2 linked regions of the Alligator mississippiensis genome follow. The protein of the gene in region 2 interacts with the protein of the main gene of each other region in a pairwise test. Links are inferred from orthologs where the notes say so. Each region holds a gene or a part of one and is shown on either strand. Other genes may lie near its edges.

Evidence for each region.
Region 1: the proteins of YTHDF1 (region 2) and DHX30 interact in a two-hybrid assay, tested with the Homo sapiens proteins (2 studies listed by BioGRID, with this or other methods). The link is inferred for Alligator mississippiensis from reciprocal best matches to the Homo sapiens genes YTHDF1 and DHX30.

The regions. Positions count from the first base shown.
Region 1 is NC_081828.1:217,718,575-217,727,007, reverse strand, and holds the start of DHX30 (ATP-dependent RNA helicase DHX30), read right to left. Parts: upstream 3,769-8,433; 5' UTR 2,784-3,768; coding exon 2,658-2,783; intron 265-2,657; coding exon 210-264; intron 1-209.
Region 2 is NC_081832.1:4,251,714-4,260,135, reverse strand, and holds the start of YTHDF1 (YTH domain-containing family protein 1), read right to left. Parts: upstream 3,670-8,422; 5' UTR 3,516-3,669; coding exon 3,489-3,515; intron 3,185-3,488; coding exon 3,160-3,184; intron 1,170-3,159; exon of another isoform or gene 1,168-1,169; coding exon 1,088-1,167; intron 1-1,087.

The sequences.
Region 1 (8,433 bases), on a different chromosome or scaffold from region 2:
ATGAATGAGGTATCAGCTTACACTGGGAAGGCAGCATGACACTTTGGGATGCTAGCTTGTAGGACAAATTTGGCGTTCCTTCTCACATGGAAGTGGACAGTAACAAGTCTCAGGAACTGATATATTTGTCTACAGAAATAATATTATGGCTGATTGATCAGGCAAGAAAAAGTAACATTTGACATGGGGCTTCTCCCCCAGCTTCTTACCTTTTTTAAGGGAATTCAGCGAGATCATCTCTGTCGGAGTGAAAAGGTCCGGTTCCTAGGAAAGCAAGGGAGTGAAGAGACAGCAAGTTAGACATTTCAAAGAGAATATCAATCTGAAGGATCCCTCACTATTTCCAATATGAACTCTCTTTGGGCTGAGACAAAGCTGAGGGATCTGACCAGATTCCAATTTAGACGCCTGTGTTCTGGGAAGCTTCATCTGAACGCAGCATCTCAAATTTTCTGCCTTAGCTTGCTGAGTAGCATGGCTACACGCTGTTTAACAGCTGCTGTGTTATATCCTAGCCATAAGGGAAATGATCCCTCTGAATATTAAAGTTTTCAAAAGCCTTGGAAATTATCTGGATAAAAGCTGCTACTGATTTACAGGTATTTGAATTTTGACTAGTTCAGGTCACGTGGGACTGAAACACAATACATAGGTCGATGGTTTCTGTGATTTCTCTCAGGGTTTTTTCTTTAAAACACTGGCATACATCTGTGAAAGATTTTCCACATATAAAGCAGCCTGAATTCTTTTGCATTTGCTTTTTCCCAGCTAAGAAGTTATGAATTTTTTTTCAATATGCAGCTTTGCCTGCAGTTTCCTCAACAGGAGCTTAGGACATCTGGCTGGGAACAAGAAAAATGCCAGGACCACAAAGCTTAATTTGGGAAAGGATCTACTCAGCCTGATCACTTAAAGGTAGGACAATTTTAGGGTACATCTGATAGAGTAGCAAGGATTTTGTAACAAACTGGAAGCAGAGCTGGGCGGGCTTCCCATTCAGATGACAATGTCCATATTCATATTAAAATATTAATCATCCACTGTAATTGTTAATAGTAATTATTATTAATGTTAATATTATACTTTTGGAGTGACCACTGCAGTCAATGGGAAAATCCTATTTATTCCAGGGAGACAGAATCAGACCTAATGCAAAGCCTCTTTTCAGAGTAGAGCTACATGAAAACAGCACTCGGAGATGTTCCCAGCATATACACAAAGCCAGACCTTATTTTAGTGATAAAGAGTTTAAACTGCATGGAAAAGCTGAACTAGGCAAAAAGCGATGTGGCTTCTTCTCCATATAAGCAGGATCATAGGAAAGTAAAGTTGGACGGGATCTTGCAAAATCATCTAGTCTAGCCTCCTGCTCAAGGCAGGACCATCCCTAAATAAACCTTCCCAACCAAGTGTTTGTCCAACCTGCTCTTGAAAATATCCAAGGATGGAGATTCCACAAGTCCTCCAAGCAGCCCATTCAATGCTTGACCACCCTCAGTCAGGAATTTCCTCCTCATTTCCAACCTAAATTACCCTGGCTGTAGCCTGAGGCCACTGCTCCTAGTCCTATCCCTTACAGCCACAGAGAAAAGCGCATCTCCATCCTCTTTGCAATCGCCTTTCAGGTATTTGAAGACTGTGATCAAATCCCCCCTCAGTCTTCTCTTCTCCAGACTAAATAACTGTAGTTCTTTCAGCCTTTCCTCGCTTCCCAAGCCCCTAATCATTTCTGTCATGCTTCGCTGGACTTTCCAATCTGTGCACATTCTTTCTGAAGTGTGGAGCCCAGAACCGGACCCTGTACTCCGGGGGGAGGCCTCCCCAGTGCTGAACAGAGAAGCATCGCTTCCTGTGATTTGCAAGTGACACTCCTGTTAGTACAACCCCGGGTGCTGTCGGCTATTTTTACAACGAAATCACGCTGCTGGCTCATATTCAGCTTATGGTCCGCTGTCACCCCCAGGTCTTTCTTTGCAGTCCTGCAGCTTAGCCAGTCATTCCCCAGCCTGTATTTGTGCATGCAAGTATTTTATCCCAAGCGCAGGGCTTTGCACATTTCCGTGCTGGATCTCAGCTGGCCATTTTTCCAGTCTGTCCAAGTCATTCTGTATCCTACCCTACAAAGCGCCCGCAACTCCATCCTACTTGGTGACATCCTCAAATTTAAGTGTGCACTCAATCCCATCAACCAAAACATTCATAAAGATGCTGAACGACAGCAAACCCAGGACAGAATCTAGGGGAGCCCCGCTTAATACCTCCTTGCAACTAAACATTGAGCCATTAATGCCTAATCTAATCTAAGCAAGTGGTTTTCAATCTTTTTTCATTTGCGGACCCCTAAAAAATGTCAAGTGGAGGTACAGAGCCCAGTGGAAATTTTGAATGGAAGCACAGACCCCTTTGAATTATAAGTGTGAGTATTCACATACTTTTGATTGATCACGGACCCCCTAGACATAGTCTGCGGACCCCCAAGGTCCACAGACCACAGGTGATCTAACCAGTTACGTATCCACCTCGTAGTACTTTCGTCTAGTCCTCTTTTCTTTAGCTGGCGAATGAGACTGTCATGCGAGAGCGTTTCAAAAGCATTGCTAAAGCCAAGGTCTATACATCACATCCACTGCTTGCCCCCCATTCACATAGCCTGTCACCTTATGGTAGAAGGAAATCAGGTTGGTCAGGCATGACTTGCTCGTGGGGAATCCATGCGGGCTGTTCCTGATCCCTCGGCTGTCCTCTCGGCGCTTCGCAAGAGACTCCTGGAGGACCTGCTCCATGATCTTCCCAGGTATCAAGGGCAGGCTGACTCCCCAGGTCCTCCTCCTTTCCTTCCTTAAAGCTGGGCACTATATATTTGCCCTTTTCCTCACCTAACCTCCAAGCGCTTTTAAAGAGGACAGCTGGCTCCAGGAGGTCTGGTTCTTCAGGCTCTTCTTTCCTGCATGGATCCAAGCTGTCAGTAACACATACGTGCACCCTGGACATGAGCTTACAACTTATAACACTCATTACAGTTGTATTCCCTCTCCAAAGAGCGTACGAGGGACCCGATCCCAAACGCCGCTCGCTTACTCAAATATTCACGGCAAAACTCTCAGTGGAGAGGAAAGGCAACCGAGAAAGACCTCCTGCCTCAGTCTACGCGGACGACCAAGCGGTCCCACTGCGGTCGCAAGTAATCACGTGTCTTTTGAGCGAGCGAAACTTCCCCGGAGGCGATTCACGAGCTAAACGCTGACAAACCGGGCGGCCGACCTAGACGGTCGCACGCGGGGACGCACGCCCCAGAAATTCATCCATTTCACAGATTTTCGGGGTCGCACGAGGCCTCCGCAGATCGTCGGGCGGCACCTTCTGGCGTAGCGAGCGGCTCGAGCGGACTCCTGCCCCGCGTCCCAACCGGTGTCCGGCGCCAAGAGGCAACGCGGTCAGCGAATGACCGCTAGCGGCCCCCTAAGACTCGGCAGGATAATGAGCCTGGCGGAGCCGTCCTCTTCCTCCGGACCGAGACGAGACGAAGGGCTCCCGTGTTTCGCGCCCCCACGCGCGAGGAGGGGCGGGCCCGCGACTAACGGGCACGAGGGGCCGCCGCGAGGCGTGATGGCGGAGGATGCCGGAGCTCGTTCCGGACCCCGGCGATGGCAGCTTTGTTTTTGGCCCCGGCGGACGCGGCGCCGAGCTGCAGGCGGTCTGGCCCGGGCTGGAGAGTCTCCACAAAGCCGGGCGCGGAGGATGCGACCCCGCGGCCCGCCCGCGGACCCCGCCCCTCCCCGCGCCCGCGAGCTTGGGGGCTCGGGCCCGGCCCCCCGCCCTCCACCCCGCCCCGCCGGGCCCCCGCACCGACCTCCTCGCAACTCCGCGGCGCCGGCCCTCGCCCGCCGGGACTACCGCTCCCGGGCGCCCGCGCGCTGCGCTTCCGGGGCATGGCCCGGAACTGAACGCGCCGACTTCCGCCCCGCAGCCCGGCTACCGGATGTGGGGGGGAGACGGCGTGTCGCCATGGCAACCGGCGGGGCCAATGGGAGCGCGGGGGCGGGGCCAATGGGGGCTGGCGCGCCTAGGGGACAGGGATCGGGCAGTGCTGCTACATAGGATCAGGATGCTGTATGGGATTGGGCAGTGTTGCTATGTGGGGCTAGGCTGCTATATGGGACCTGGCAGTGCTGCTATATGGGACCAGGATGCTATACGGGACGGGGCAGTGCTGCTATGTAGGGCTAGGCTGCTATATGGGACCTGGCAGTGCTGCTATATGGGACCAGGATGCTATACGGGACAGGGCAGCGCTGCTATGTAGGGCTAGGCTGCTATATGGGACTGGGCTGTTATATGGGACTGGGCAGTGTTGCTATATGGGACCTGGCAGTGCTGCTATATGGGACCAGGATGCTATACGGGACGGGGCAGTGCTGCTATGTAGGGCTAGGCTGCTATATGGGACCGTGCTGTTATATGGGACCGGGCAGTGTTGCTATATGGGACTGGGCAGTGCTGCTATACGGGACTGGGCTGCTATATGGGACTGGGCAGTACTGCTATGTGGGGCTAGGCTGCTATATGGAACCGGACTACTATATGGGACCGGGCAGTGCTGCTATATGGGGCCAGGTTGCTATATGGGACCAGGCTGCTGTATGGGGCTGGGCTGGGCAGTACCGTATGGGACCAGGCTGCTATACAGGACAGGGCAGGGCTGCTCTAGGGACTAGGATGCTGTATGGGACCAGGCGGTGTTGCTATATGGGACCAGGCTGCCCTGTGGGACTCGTCGGGGGGCTGTATGGGGTCAGGTTGCTAGACAGGACAGGGCAGTGCTGCTGTATGGGACCAGGCAGCGTAGGACTGAGCTGCCCTGTGGGAGGTCAGGGGGGCTGTACAGGCCCAGGCTGCTATACGGGACAGGCCAGTGTTGCTGTATAGGACCAGGCTGCTATACAGGACCAGACGTGTGGCTGTATAGGATTGGACTGCTACAGACCTTTGCGACGCCCTCCCTGCTCACATAGCAGTACTGCCCAGTCCCATATAGCAGCCTAGTCCCATATAGCAATTCAAGGCACTGGGTGTGACCTACAAAGCCCTACACAGCCAGGCCCCGAGGGGAACCCGTCCCTCTGCCCCGCAAGGGCAGCCTCCTGCAAGGACCAGCCGTGTGCTGAGTCCGCTGGGCTGGAACGGGGGGAGATGGCTGCCAGCCACCACGGCGCAGCCCTGGAGCTCCCTCCCTCTTGAGGCTGCCTGAGCCTGGGTGTTTCTGGCTGCTAAATGCCCAGGGGTGGATGCCGGGGGATGCAGTGGTGCATTTGCACCCCGCTTTGAGTCCGGCTCCAGCCATAGTTTAAAACCAGCTGCCGGGCAGTGACGGCAGCGTTGCTGGTCAGGCAGCGCTGAGGGAGTCCGTTGTCACCTATCAGATCCCTTCTACACCCCTCATCCCACAGGTGTGGACGACCCTCTTCCTTTCAACGGTCTTGATGTTCCAGCGATCAAGCATCCTTTGGTCTGCAGTTCTGCTGTCCATTGCCTGCGCCTGGTGCTGGAGCTCCTATTTCACAGCCCTGCAGATACTGCTTTAATTCCAGTGAAGTTGTATTTGTTTTTGCCTCAATTTTAAACAGACTCATCCAGCCCCAATCCCCAGGCCTATTAGTAAAGCTTCTAGTTTCTTTTCACCTGGAGAAAAATAGGTGTTCTTTATATGTGATGATGCGCCTCACCATCTGCACCTTGCTTTTCAACATCCTAGATCCGTAAGTCTGCAAGTTCCTAGATCCATAATCAGCAATTTATGGATTAAACTAAACAGGATTTGCTCTGGAGCTGGATGCTTTAATGCCACGCTCTGTAAGACTGGCTTGGAGAACCGTCCGGTATGTGAGTGTGGTGTTGCACCACAGACTGCTGACCACCTCCTCACGTCTGCAACACACCCACGTACCCAGGATAAAGGCCTGGCAAGCATCCACAATAAAGCTGTTGTGTGGCTCTGCCATATTAATGATGTGTGGAGGGGGAAATTAAGTATATGAGAGGGAAAAGAACATCCTAGATGTACTCATGTAAATGCCTGCCTCACCGGAGCTGGGCTGAGGGGCTATGTCGTGGGTCTCTGCTTTATTCTGGTTTTCTCTGAGTCGGTTTCTCGTGCTGCAAGCTGCCCTGAGTCTCGGTTGGGAAGGGGGCACGTGTATCACGCAACTAGAGTCCCCTGGCTAGGTCCATGGTCCAAGCTGTCTAGATCCTGTCTCTAAAGGTCTGTGGGATGTTGCAGGTCCTGGCCCTGCAGTCCGTTCCAGCTGAAAGGTGTGGGTTTGGGGTGCGATAATGTGGGTCTGGGTCTTTCTTTGGCTGGAGCAGAGCCCAGTCCTGGAGAGCGAGGACATGAAGGCCATTTGTGCCACTGCAGTTCTCACGTGAAGCACCAGAGGTCAATAACTGTTGCATTTTCCCCTAATTAAATGGTTGTCTGCTGCAAGCCCTGCCTGCGTGCTTTAATTGTAGTTGATGCAGGGCTTGGAGACAAAGAAGGACGCGCAGGGAGCAACCGGCACAGCGAGAGAGAAGCAGAGGGGAAATTGGGACTGTCCCCGGGCACGTACAAGGTTAATCAGGAATTCATTCCAGCCTCTCCAGGTGACGGTCCTTGCGAGAGCCATGTTAGGGTGCTTTCACAGAAACACCTGTACTAGGAGATAGTGCCTGATTGTCCCTGTGCCCTCCTCTGTATAGCAAACGTCACGTGTACTCTTGTGCAACGAAGCTGGAACTGTACATGTCACAGATGTCTTAAATCTGAAGCCAAATTCCAACCTTAGCAAGCAGGGTATTGTTTAACCATACCCTTACGAGGAATTATACAAATCCTGCAGCTCATCTCAGACATGTTGTTGCTCTTGAACCTGGGCTACGTTATTCTCTATCAAATGGGTGTCCGGTACCTTTCAGGAACAGGTTCTTTGTGCCCACACCTGGGCTGGATTTGAATCTGCCATCTTGAGGTGCAAGACCCCAAACCATTGCCATTCCTCATCCCAGTGACACCTGTGGGACTGCTTCTCGGGGTAAAGGGAGCTGTGTGTGTCTGCAAGATCGAGCCCCTCATTTCTGGTAACTATCCATCCACAGGCGTCATTGCGCTCAAGGGAAATGTAACGTGTCAGCATTTGGGGGTATTCCTTTAACAGCCTCCTCATTTTTCATTGCCATGAGTGGCAATGAGTGCAAGGTGGCAAAAGCCTGCAGCAAGACAGCAGCCCTGGACTTCAGGAGGGCAGATTTCAATGAGGTAAGGAGACTAGTTGGAGAAGCACTGAGGTCCTGGAGGGGAGGGGAGTCGGGTGTCCAAGAAGAGTGGTCGTTCCTTAAGGAGACGATCCTCCAAGCCCAAAGGGAGGTAATCCCAACATGGGTCAAAGGGGCAAGAGGGTGCAAAAGTCCCCATGGCTCACCAAGAGCATACGGGAACGTCTCCTGGCTAAAAGGGAGGCGTACACCCAATGGCAGGGAGGGACCATCCCCAGGGAGGACTACACCTCGGGTGCTCGGGGCTGCAGGAGGGTGGTCAGGAAGGCCAAGGCGGAGATGGGACTGGGACTAGCTACCTGGATCAAGGACAACAAGAAGTCCTTCTTTAAATACATAGGGGGCAAAAAGAAGGTGCCAGGTAACGTGGGACCTCTGCAAGACACGCTAGGAAATCCGGTTGTCACACCAGACGACAAGGCTAACTTATTTAACAATTTCTTTGCCTCCGTTTTCCTGAGCAGGGACCGGATCAGCCCGTCCGCCGGGACCCCCTCAGGCCCCAGGGGAGGCGCAGCCAGGCCTAGGGTCAGCGAGGATCAAGTCAGGGAACTTCTGGAGGGACTGGACATATTTAAATCAGCTGGTCCTGATGATCTCCACCCCCGAGTGCTGAGGGAATTAGCAGAGGTCATTGCGGGACCCCTGCACAGCTTTATGAGCACTCGTGGTGCCCTGGCATTGTACCAGAGGACTGGAAAAGGGCCAACGTGGTCCCCATCTTCAAAAAAGGGAGGAAGGAGGACCCAGGGAACTATAGGTCAGTTAGTCTTACCTCGATCCTGGGTGAGCTTTTTGAGAGAGTTATTCTAGCGCATGTCCACGAGGGGCCGGCAGGGCAGATCATGCTTAGGGGCAGCCAACACAGGTTCATTCGAGGCAGGTGCTGTCAGACCAACCTGGTGCCTTCTACGACCAGGTCACAACATCCTTAGATGCAGGGGTAGCAGTGGACGTAGTCTTTCTGGACTTTAGGAAGGCCTTCGACACTGTCTCTCACTCCATTCTCGTTAAAAAACTAGGGGGCTGTGGCGTCGACACCTCCACAGTGAGATAGGTCGCTAACTGGCTGGAGGGCCGCACCCAGAGAGTGGTGGTGGACAGGTCATTTTTGACCTGGAGGGA
Region 2 (8,422 bases):
CTTCAAAACAAGCCAAACATTAAGATTAAATAGCTACTTTCACTTGTAAGAATACTAGTATGTTGCTATGCATAGTTTTAAAGAAGGTTCTTTAAACAAGAATAAGAGAACCCAATCCAAGATGTTGGAGATATTTAGCTAGTGTATACTGTACATCAGTTACAGAGACCACTGTATTATGCTCTCCTTAAATATCTGTTCAGCCCTTCTCATAAAGGAGCAACAGAACAATTATGGACCAAGAGGCACACTGCTCTGCATTTGAGGAATATAGGGAAGGATCTAATCCAATAATTTTCACACCTCTAGTTCTGATGCATCTCATTTTCTCTGCTCTCATTTAAAACCATCTTAAGCAGCACTGCTTCTGTTTAAAATAAAAGAACATTCTCCTGGAAAGTATTCTACAAGTCATAGGCACTGTATCAATACATATTAGCAGGAAGCAGTAATATTTGAGTCTTACATCACATTGCCTTACTCTGGTGCACATGTTTAATTTAGTATTTTAAATTATATTTCCATGCTAAGCTGTTTCTGTTTTCTTTTTGTAAGCCATCCTGAGCCTTTGTTGGGAACAGTGGCACATTAACTGAATAAATAAAAACATGAACTCTAACAAAAAATCAGATTATGTATGTGAAGAAATGATATTTGCTGAAAGGTAGTAAGCAAATAGAGCTACTGTGCAAACTTCAAATCACAATCGTTACCAAGTCCATCTAAAAGCAGAATCTCTCAGTGACTGTAACAGGTGCTCTGACTACTGAAGAACTGCAAAACCAAGGCCTTACCAAGAAGCAACTATGTGAGATTTTACAATAATACTTTGATGTGGAAAGTATACAAGCTAGACCTGGACCATTATCTTCATTTTCACTTGTGACAAAGCTGAGCTAAAGTGCTAGTAACAGTACTCAGTAATACTTAATGCACTGGAGCTGTTTCTTTGGCTATTTCCCTTTTAAAGCCTCACAGACTTTGGGAGCTATGAGCATAGGAGAGTCATAGTAGTGTTTGCCATATACCTTACTATGCCCAATCTATACCTTAGAAACAAAGGTAAATTAACAAAAGATACACTAACCTGATTTGACTGTCCAGAAAGGTAAGGTTCAAAGTCGTTATCATGAACTGTATCCTTCTGATGTAATGAACCATTTTGTACTAAAACAAAACATTGCAACATGTTATTACATTGTTTAATAACATTTCAATGAAGAACCTCATCCTAAATTAACTGTAGAAAAAAATAGAGTACAGTAAATCCTTCTTGTGACATTGTCATTAATCCTTGACAAGGAAAGGGGTCAAATTTCTCTAAAATGAAAGTTTCCCAGTGCACTCTGAAAATCATTACTGCTTCCAAAACTAATTTGAATGACAATTTCAGAACATCTTATACTCAATTTTTTCCTACAGCTTGCAAGTTATAGTCAAATGAAGAACCTGCAATTTTAACAAGGGTGAACATGCACGTTATCTCCAGGAAATGTTAGAATCACAGAAAGGCATTTCTTGAGAAGAATGTGTGAATATGACTAGAGGACATAGCAATAACAGGTGTCCCTACTCCATGCCTATGACAATACAAATAGCAAACATCTGCTGTTCATACTGAGTTCTTTAAAAAGTTGTGTCAGCAGTGATAAAATAATGGCTGTTGGGTGTGTATTGCTTGGAAAAGCCAACAAAATGCTATCTTAAGCTTCACTTCCCTCACCTGTAAAATGGAAATACCTAGCTAAAACAAAGGGACATTTCAGGCTAAACATCAGCAAAGCTCTCTAAAAGGCACATTGAGAAGGTGCTATATAAAAAATGCAAAATGGTTATTTAAATTGCATCACACTTTATTTCTGCCAGTTATTGTGAAGCATAAAGCAAGCAGCATGCATTAAGTCTTTGCTAAGTAATCCAGCAGTTTCATAGAAAGGCTAAACTAAAAACAATGCCAGAGAAAAGAAAAATGCAAATACAATTCTTTTCAAAGATGACAAAAATAGTGACTTAAAATGGGTATGCAAAAGTAAAATAAGTTCAGGAAAAGCTGTCAAGGAAAATAGAACAGTATGTATAACATATATATAAACATAACTTATGTTATGCATACTGCATTTCCTGGAGATATATGCATAACATAAGTTATATATATATATATATATATATATATATATATATATATCTCCAGGAAATGTAGTATGCATAACATAAGTTATGTTATATATATACACAAGTGGAGAGATACCAGGAAGAGCACATACCAACTGCTAAAACTTCCTTAGCCTGACGAAAGGTTTTTTGAACCCAAAAGCTTTCTTAATAACTATTCTCCAACTATTTGGGTTGGTCTAATAAAAGATATCAAATTCACGCAAGGAACCTTGTCTGCCTATGTCCTTAGACCAACATGGCTACAACCGACACCCCTGTAACATAAATTAATGCATTTATAGAGCAGAGGAAATAATCTGAAACTTGTTAAGACTACAGCAGTTTGAAAAACCATGAAAAATGAAATCTGAAAGACATTTGTATGGCAGACCTACGCCTATGTAAACTAATAGGGGACCTGCTTCCATGCTAACGAGTATGTAATTATTCACCAATAATATTACAGTAACATAACTGACTTACAACTAGGCTAGTTAACTCACGAGACAACTTGCTGGCAAAGTTAAATATTTGATAAAGGAGGTCATACGCGTTGTCATACCGGCTTATTACGGGTATTTGTATCGTTCGATTAAAACGACTTGTAGGAAAAGAGTTGTAACACACCGGCCAAATCCAGCCCAACGACAGAAAAATAATGATATAACAGAAGCAACCTTGGGTGCGCGTTTGTGTTTTTAATTGGTCTTTTAAAGACTCTTCCACGCTGCATTTGTAGCCTTATTGAAGGCATCTTTACAAGAGAGGAGTGTGTGTTTGTAATCAAGCAGCCTCACAGGGATGAAACATCGAAACAAAAACGCTCAAAACACCCGCGTGCCAGGAATCCCATCCTTTACACAGCGTGCGTGCAAGACACCAAGCTCAGCTCCCGATGATGAGAAACCACCGTATCACCGACCTGCTTGCTCCGACATTTAAATAAGATGCAAATAGAAAGATGCATACCCCCCCCTTAAAATTCCCCCCCCCCCCCCTTCATACCTTTATTTTCCTGTCCTTTCGGTCTCTGCGATGCCCGGAGAAGAGGAGGTGGCGGGGGAGGGGGGGAGAAAGAGAAGAAAACTAATCAATTTTGTGAAATGTTTTTGCACAACCCAAAAGTTTGAGGTGGAGAATGACCCCCCCCCCTCCTCCCCCCACCCTATTAGGTTTGAGATTTCATACCACGCACAGACACGTGTGTGTGTGTGTGGGGGGGGGGGGGGGCTGATTTGGCCTTACCTGGAGCTGGTGTTGGGGTGGGAATACAGGGAAGGAGAGGGAGGGATGGACGGACACAGACGGGAGGAGGGTGGGGGAGGGGGGCTCACCTGAGGGTCGACGCTGGTGGCAGACATACTTCATGTAGGGCCCGGGGGGGGCGGGCGGCGGGCGCGGGGCCCGTGCGGGGGGGAGAGGCGCCCCCTGAGGCCGGGCGGGGGGGTGCGGGGGGGGGCGCGGGGAGGTGCGGGGCCCGCGGCCGCGATGCAGCGCGAGCCTCCAAGTCCAATGGCGGCGGGGACCGGGCTGCGGTGACGTCAACGCCGGAGCGCGCGCGGGGCAGGCCGGGAAAATATGGCCGGGCCGGGCTGGGAGGTGGGGGAGTGCAGAACCTGGCGCGCATGCGCGACTCTCTAGTGGGCAGGCGGGGGGAGGAGGCTGCAGGCGCTCGCGGCCCGACAGGGGGCGCACGGGGTTGGGCTCTGCGCATGCGTCCCAGTGCCCCCCATGCATGGGGATGACACAGCCCAGGATAGCAGTAGTGGCTCTTGGGAGGGCAAATGCCTGATGCTTTTGGGGGCCTTAACATTTTGCAATTTTTTTTTTTTTTAAGGGCTGATTTAATCCTTTTTCAACTGGGCTGAAGAGCAGCTTTTGGGGGCCCTAAACTTTTGCAATCCTTTTTTTTTTAGGGCTGATTTAATCCTTTTTTTAACTGGGCTGAAGAGTAGCTTTTGGGGGCCCTAAACTTTTGCAATCCTTTTTTTTTTAGGGCTGATTTAATCCTTTTTTAACTGGGCTGAAGAGCAGCTTTTGGGGGCCCTAAACTTTTGCAATCCTTTTTTTTTTTTTTTAAGGGCTGATTTAATCCTTTTTCAACTGGGCTGAAGAGCAGCTTTTGGGGGCCCTAAACTTTTGCAATCCTTTTTTTTTTTTTTTAAGGGCTGATTTAATCCTTTTTCAACTGGGCTGAAGAGCAGCTTTTGGGGGCCCTAAACTTTTGCAATCCTTTTTTTTTTAGGGCTGATTTAATCCTTTTTTAACTGGGCTGAAGAGTAGCTTTTGGGGGCCCTAAAATTTTGCAATCCTTTTTTTGGGGGGAGGTTTTTGCAAGGGTCAAACTGGTTCCCCCACCCCTGGGATTGGATGCTGTCCATGCAGCCTCTACCCTTGCAGTGAAATGCAGCCGCTGCAGTTCTCAGCGAGCGCCACCCACTTTGGGATCAGATTGCTTGTCATGCATCTCTTCGGTGATGTATTTTACCTGCCTTAGGCAAACCTCGCATCAGGAACTTTATTGATCCATAAGCAGTAGCTTCCTTTCTTTTCTCTCTCGCTCCGCTCGCCGTCATTTGACCCTACGAAGAACGTCTTGCAGTCGAAAGCTTGTCTAACTCTAACCCAACGACGTTACTGGTCCAGTAAAAGAGAGCACCCAAAAAAATCCTGACCTTACTGTTTAACAGAATATAAATGTCAGGTGATATTGTGGCCTAGCAGATCTCGCCCTTTCCCTTTGCTTTGTAGAGACCCCTTTATGACCAGTCATTAGCACCATGGTGACAATTTTTGATCTGACTCATGTATTTTGTTTTCCGGCACAATAATATGCAAATTCCTAGCTTGGAAAAACTAGCCCCATTAGCAAAGCTACCATTGATTTCAGTAGGACCAGGTTTTCAACCTATACATTTCAGGGAGCGTCGTCATTCACCTGTGTGTAGTACTGGTACGTGGAGAAATCAAACCGATATTGCTGGAGCAAGGTGTCTGTTCCTGCTGAAACCATGTCAGAGTTGAAGCCCTGTAGCTTTAGAGAAAGGCCTGGCATTTCTCTAATGAGATCAAAATTATTGAAAGCAGTGCCCTTTTAGTCCTAGCAGCTGAATCCCAACTTGTTAGCCGCTGTAGCTCTGCTTCTCCCTGTAGATAACGGTGCTTTAGGAATGGGTAGAGTGTTTAGCAACCAGATTCATTGTTATTTGTATTGCAGCAATGCCCCAGAGCAGAGCCCCGATCATGGATTAGGGCTACGCTGTGATAGGTGCTGCACAAAGAACAAAAACAATCCCTGTCCCAGACAGCTTACAGACTTTTAATTGCTTATTATTATAATGCAAAAGGTCTAAGTTAATATGTTTTCTGTCCTAATAGGATATATCCTAATGTTTTTATTTTAAAATTTCAGAGCCAAACCATGCTCTTTGTTGATATGACGGTGAAGAATCTGCATGTGCCATTGTTATATTAACATTTATTTGGTGTTAGTGCTCAAAGACCTCCGCTGGGTCAGAGGCCCCACTGTGCAACCAGTGAATGCAAGCTTTTCTGGGCAGAAACTGCCAATCTAAAGTCATGCGGCGCTTCCAACAGTGGCAATGTGCTTGCAGGTCAGAAAGTCTATCCAAATATAGAACCCAAATACTCTACTGCCCTGGGAGCCTGTAACACCATGACAAAACCTGCTGGTCCCTGTGCACGCAAACAAACGGTGAGGTTGACCGTACAAAGCTCGTAGACTCTTCTCTCCCACTCCTGTCTAAAGCAGGCATATTGCATAGCTGTCGAATATGCACCACAAATGCTCTGGTAGCTCAGTGGTCCACGTAGCTTATCACCTAATACAAGTGCCCGTCATCTGCCTGGAGAATGGGAATAAAGGAGGCTTATATTTGAAAAGAGCATCTGTATAATGCATGGCTATGCATGCCCAGAAACCTGACTTCCCTTCAGAGGTATCATACAGCACTCAGGGTTTTTCTATGACCATAGTCTCTTTTTTAGCTTGAACCTGACTCTTTTTGATTGGTTCCCTGACACACACATACAGCATCTGCTGTTATAGGATATGAGTGATACAACAAAGCACTAAAGAAAATAAAAAGAACAGACTGTTGAGGCCTATTTAACATAATGTGCAACTGCTGGAGCTAACACATGGCTTATAATCTGCTACAGAATACCGCACTACGTTTTATATTAGCCCATTGTTTTATTTGAAAACAACAAAAGAAATGATTGCCACAGTGCTGCATATTTCTCCAAAAGAAAGCTGGGGCTGCTGGTTGGGGATCTCCAAGTTATATCACAGTCCTGCTTTAGGGAAGAATTCGCTCATGGAACTGATTTCTAATATTTTGCAACAGGATATTTTGCTGCTCAGAGCAACGGGGTGGCAGAGGACTTCTGTCACCTGAGATGTGCACAAGCTCTGCCAAGAACCAAACCGTGTGGTGTCAGTAATCAGTCTCACCGTTATGTAACACGGATGTTCAGCGTTCTGGTAACACCGGTCAAGCTTTCTGTGTATCGGCAGATAGTTACTGTAAATCTTATATGCATGCACTCTATTGTTAGATTTTTTAGAAGTAGTATATATCAATGCTTAGGAAGAGTGACGGGCTAAATATTAATAACCTTGTCCTTAGATCAGCTACAATTATGATGCAGACAGCAATAGTGACAGTTTCCCTATCCTTAAAAGTTGCAACCCACTTAGGGCTAGGTTTTGGTTATGATCAGGTAGTTGGATTTGTCTGCTGCTAGAGATCAAAATGAATCCTCTGTTCCTCCAAGTTGAATGATCCAGTCTTTTCATGTCCTCTTTTCCACCAGTAATCAAAGGAGAGATGAGAAAGGTAGGGGATCAGTGCAACAGCTTGTCACTTGTGGATGTCTGAGCTCTAATTCTGTCTTAGTTTCCAAGTAACAATTGGTTTGCAAGTAAGAATTGGTCCATCCCAATTCCCTTTGTCTTTGTCCTTAACATACAACATAGTTGGCACTAAGTCTATAGAAAAGCCTCTGAAAGAACCCCGCATCTCATTCAGGACTACCTTCACTACCTTTAGATACAAACTTCACATATGATAAGTGCAGAAAGGACTGCCATTCAAGGATTGGGCTTTAGAGCCATGCTTACAGACGTTCAACGAGCTGATGCCTCACTTGGCACAAATCTATTGTCTCATGAGACAGACAGATGCCTATTATTATTAGTTGTCAGTCTATGCCCTGGATAATCTCTGGAATTAAACAGAAGGAATACGACCCAAAAGTACAAGGCAAAAAGGACAGAATTGTGAGATTAAAGCTAGTAGTTGGGAGAAAAAAATCTAATTGCGGAAAATAAAGAAAGCAATAGGCCCAAAAATTTCCCAAAAGGAAAGAAAAATGCCCCTTTCCTTTTCCTTAACCTATTCTAGGGTTCATGAATGTCACTTCCTTCAATAAACTGTGGCTAAAAGAGCAATTGAAAAATGAATTTGGGGATGAATCATAAAAAATGATTACAAGATACAGTAATGAAAGATACCACTTTTCACTGTTATTGGTGATTACAAGTTTCCCTTGCTTTATGCGGGTTTTCTATGTAAGAATTCGCTCTTATGTGATGACCCTTTTTATACCAAAAAATTTGCCATATGAGAGGTAAATTCACTCTTATATGATCGATGTGGTGGAAGCCCGCAGTCCGCTGCTTTGTGCGGTGCATGGTGGGAGTGACACGCACCAACATAGTCTCCTGCACAGATCTGTGCTCCTCGCTCATGATCGGTAACACGTGTTTCTGCAGTTGCCATGCCCATTATGATAGCGCCTTGTGCTTGTGTGCACTGTCTGCTGTTGTAAAAGTGGTAGAAATGGATCTGGGGGTCAGTACAGTCGAGGTCTTGCAACGTATCCCTATTTGTTACATTGTCAAGTGGGTTTCCTTTATGCAAATATGAATTATACACCATTTTCCAGGAGTGCATGTACAGCATAAAATGAGGGAAACCTGTACTGTAAATTTAGGATTTTTTTTTTTTATTAGGGGAGAAATCCAGATTTGAATAAGCAGGAGACTATTGCAACCAACGTAGACAAACAGGATTGGATCCTCCCTTTCACTCCTTTCTCTCAGTATACTCTGTGTGGCTGATGGTTATGCAGCACAGCAGAAAAACAGGCCCTTGTGCAAAGGAACCATCAAACTGTGGAAAGCTAGGGTGGAAGTTCAGCCTAAGATGGAAATAAATTTTAAAAATAATATGATTCATGC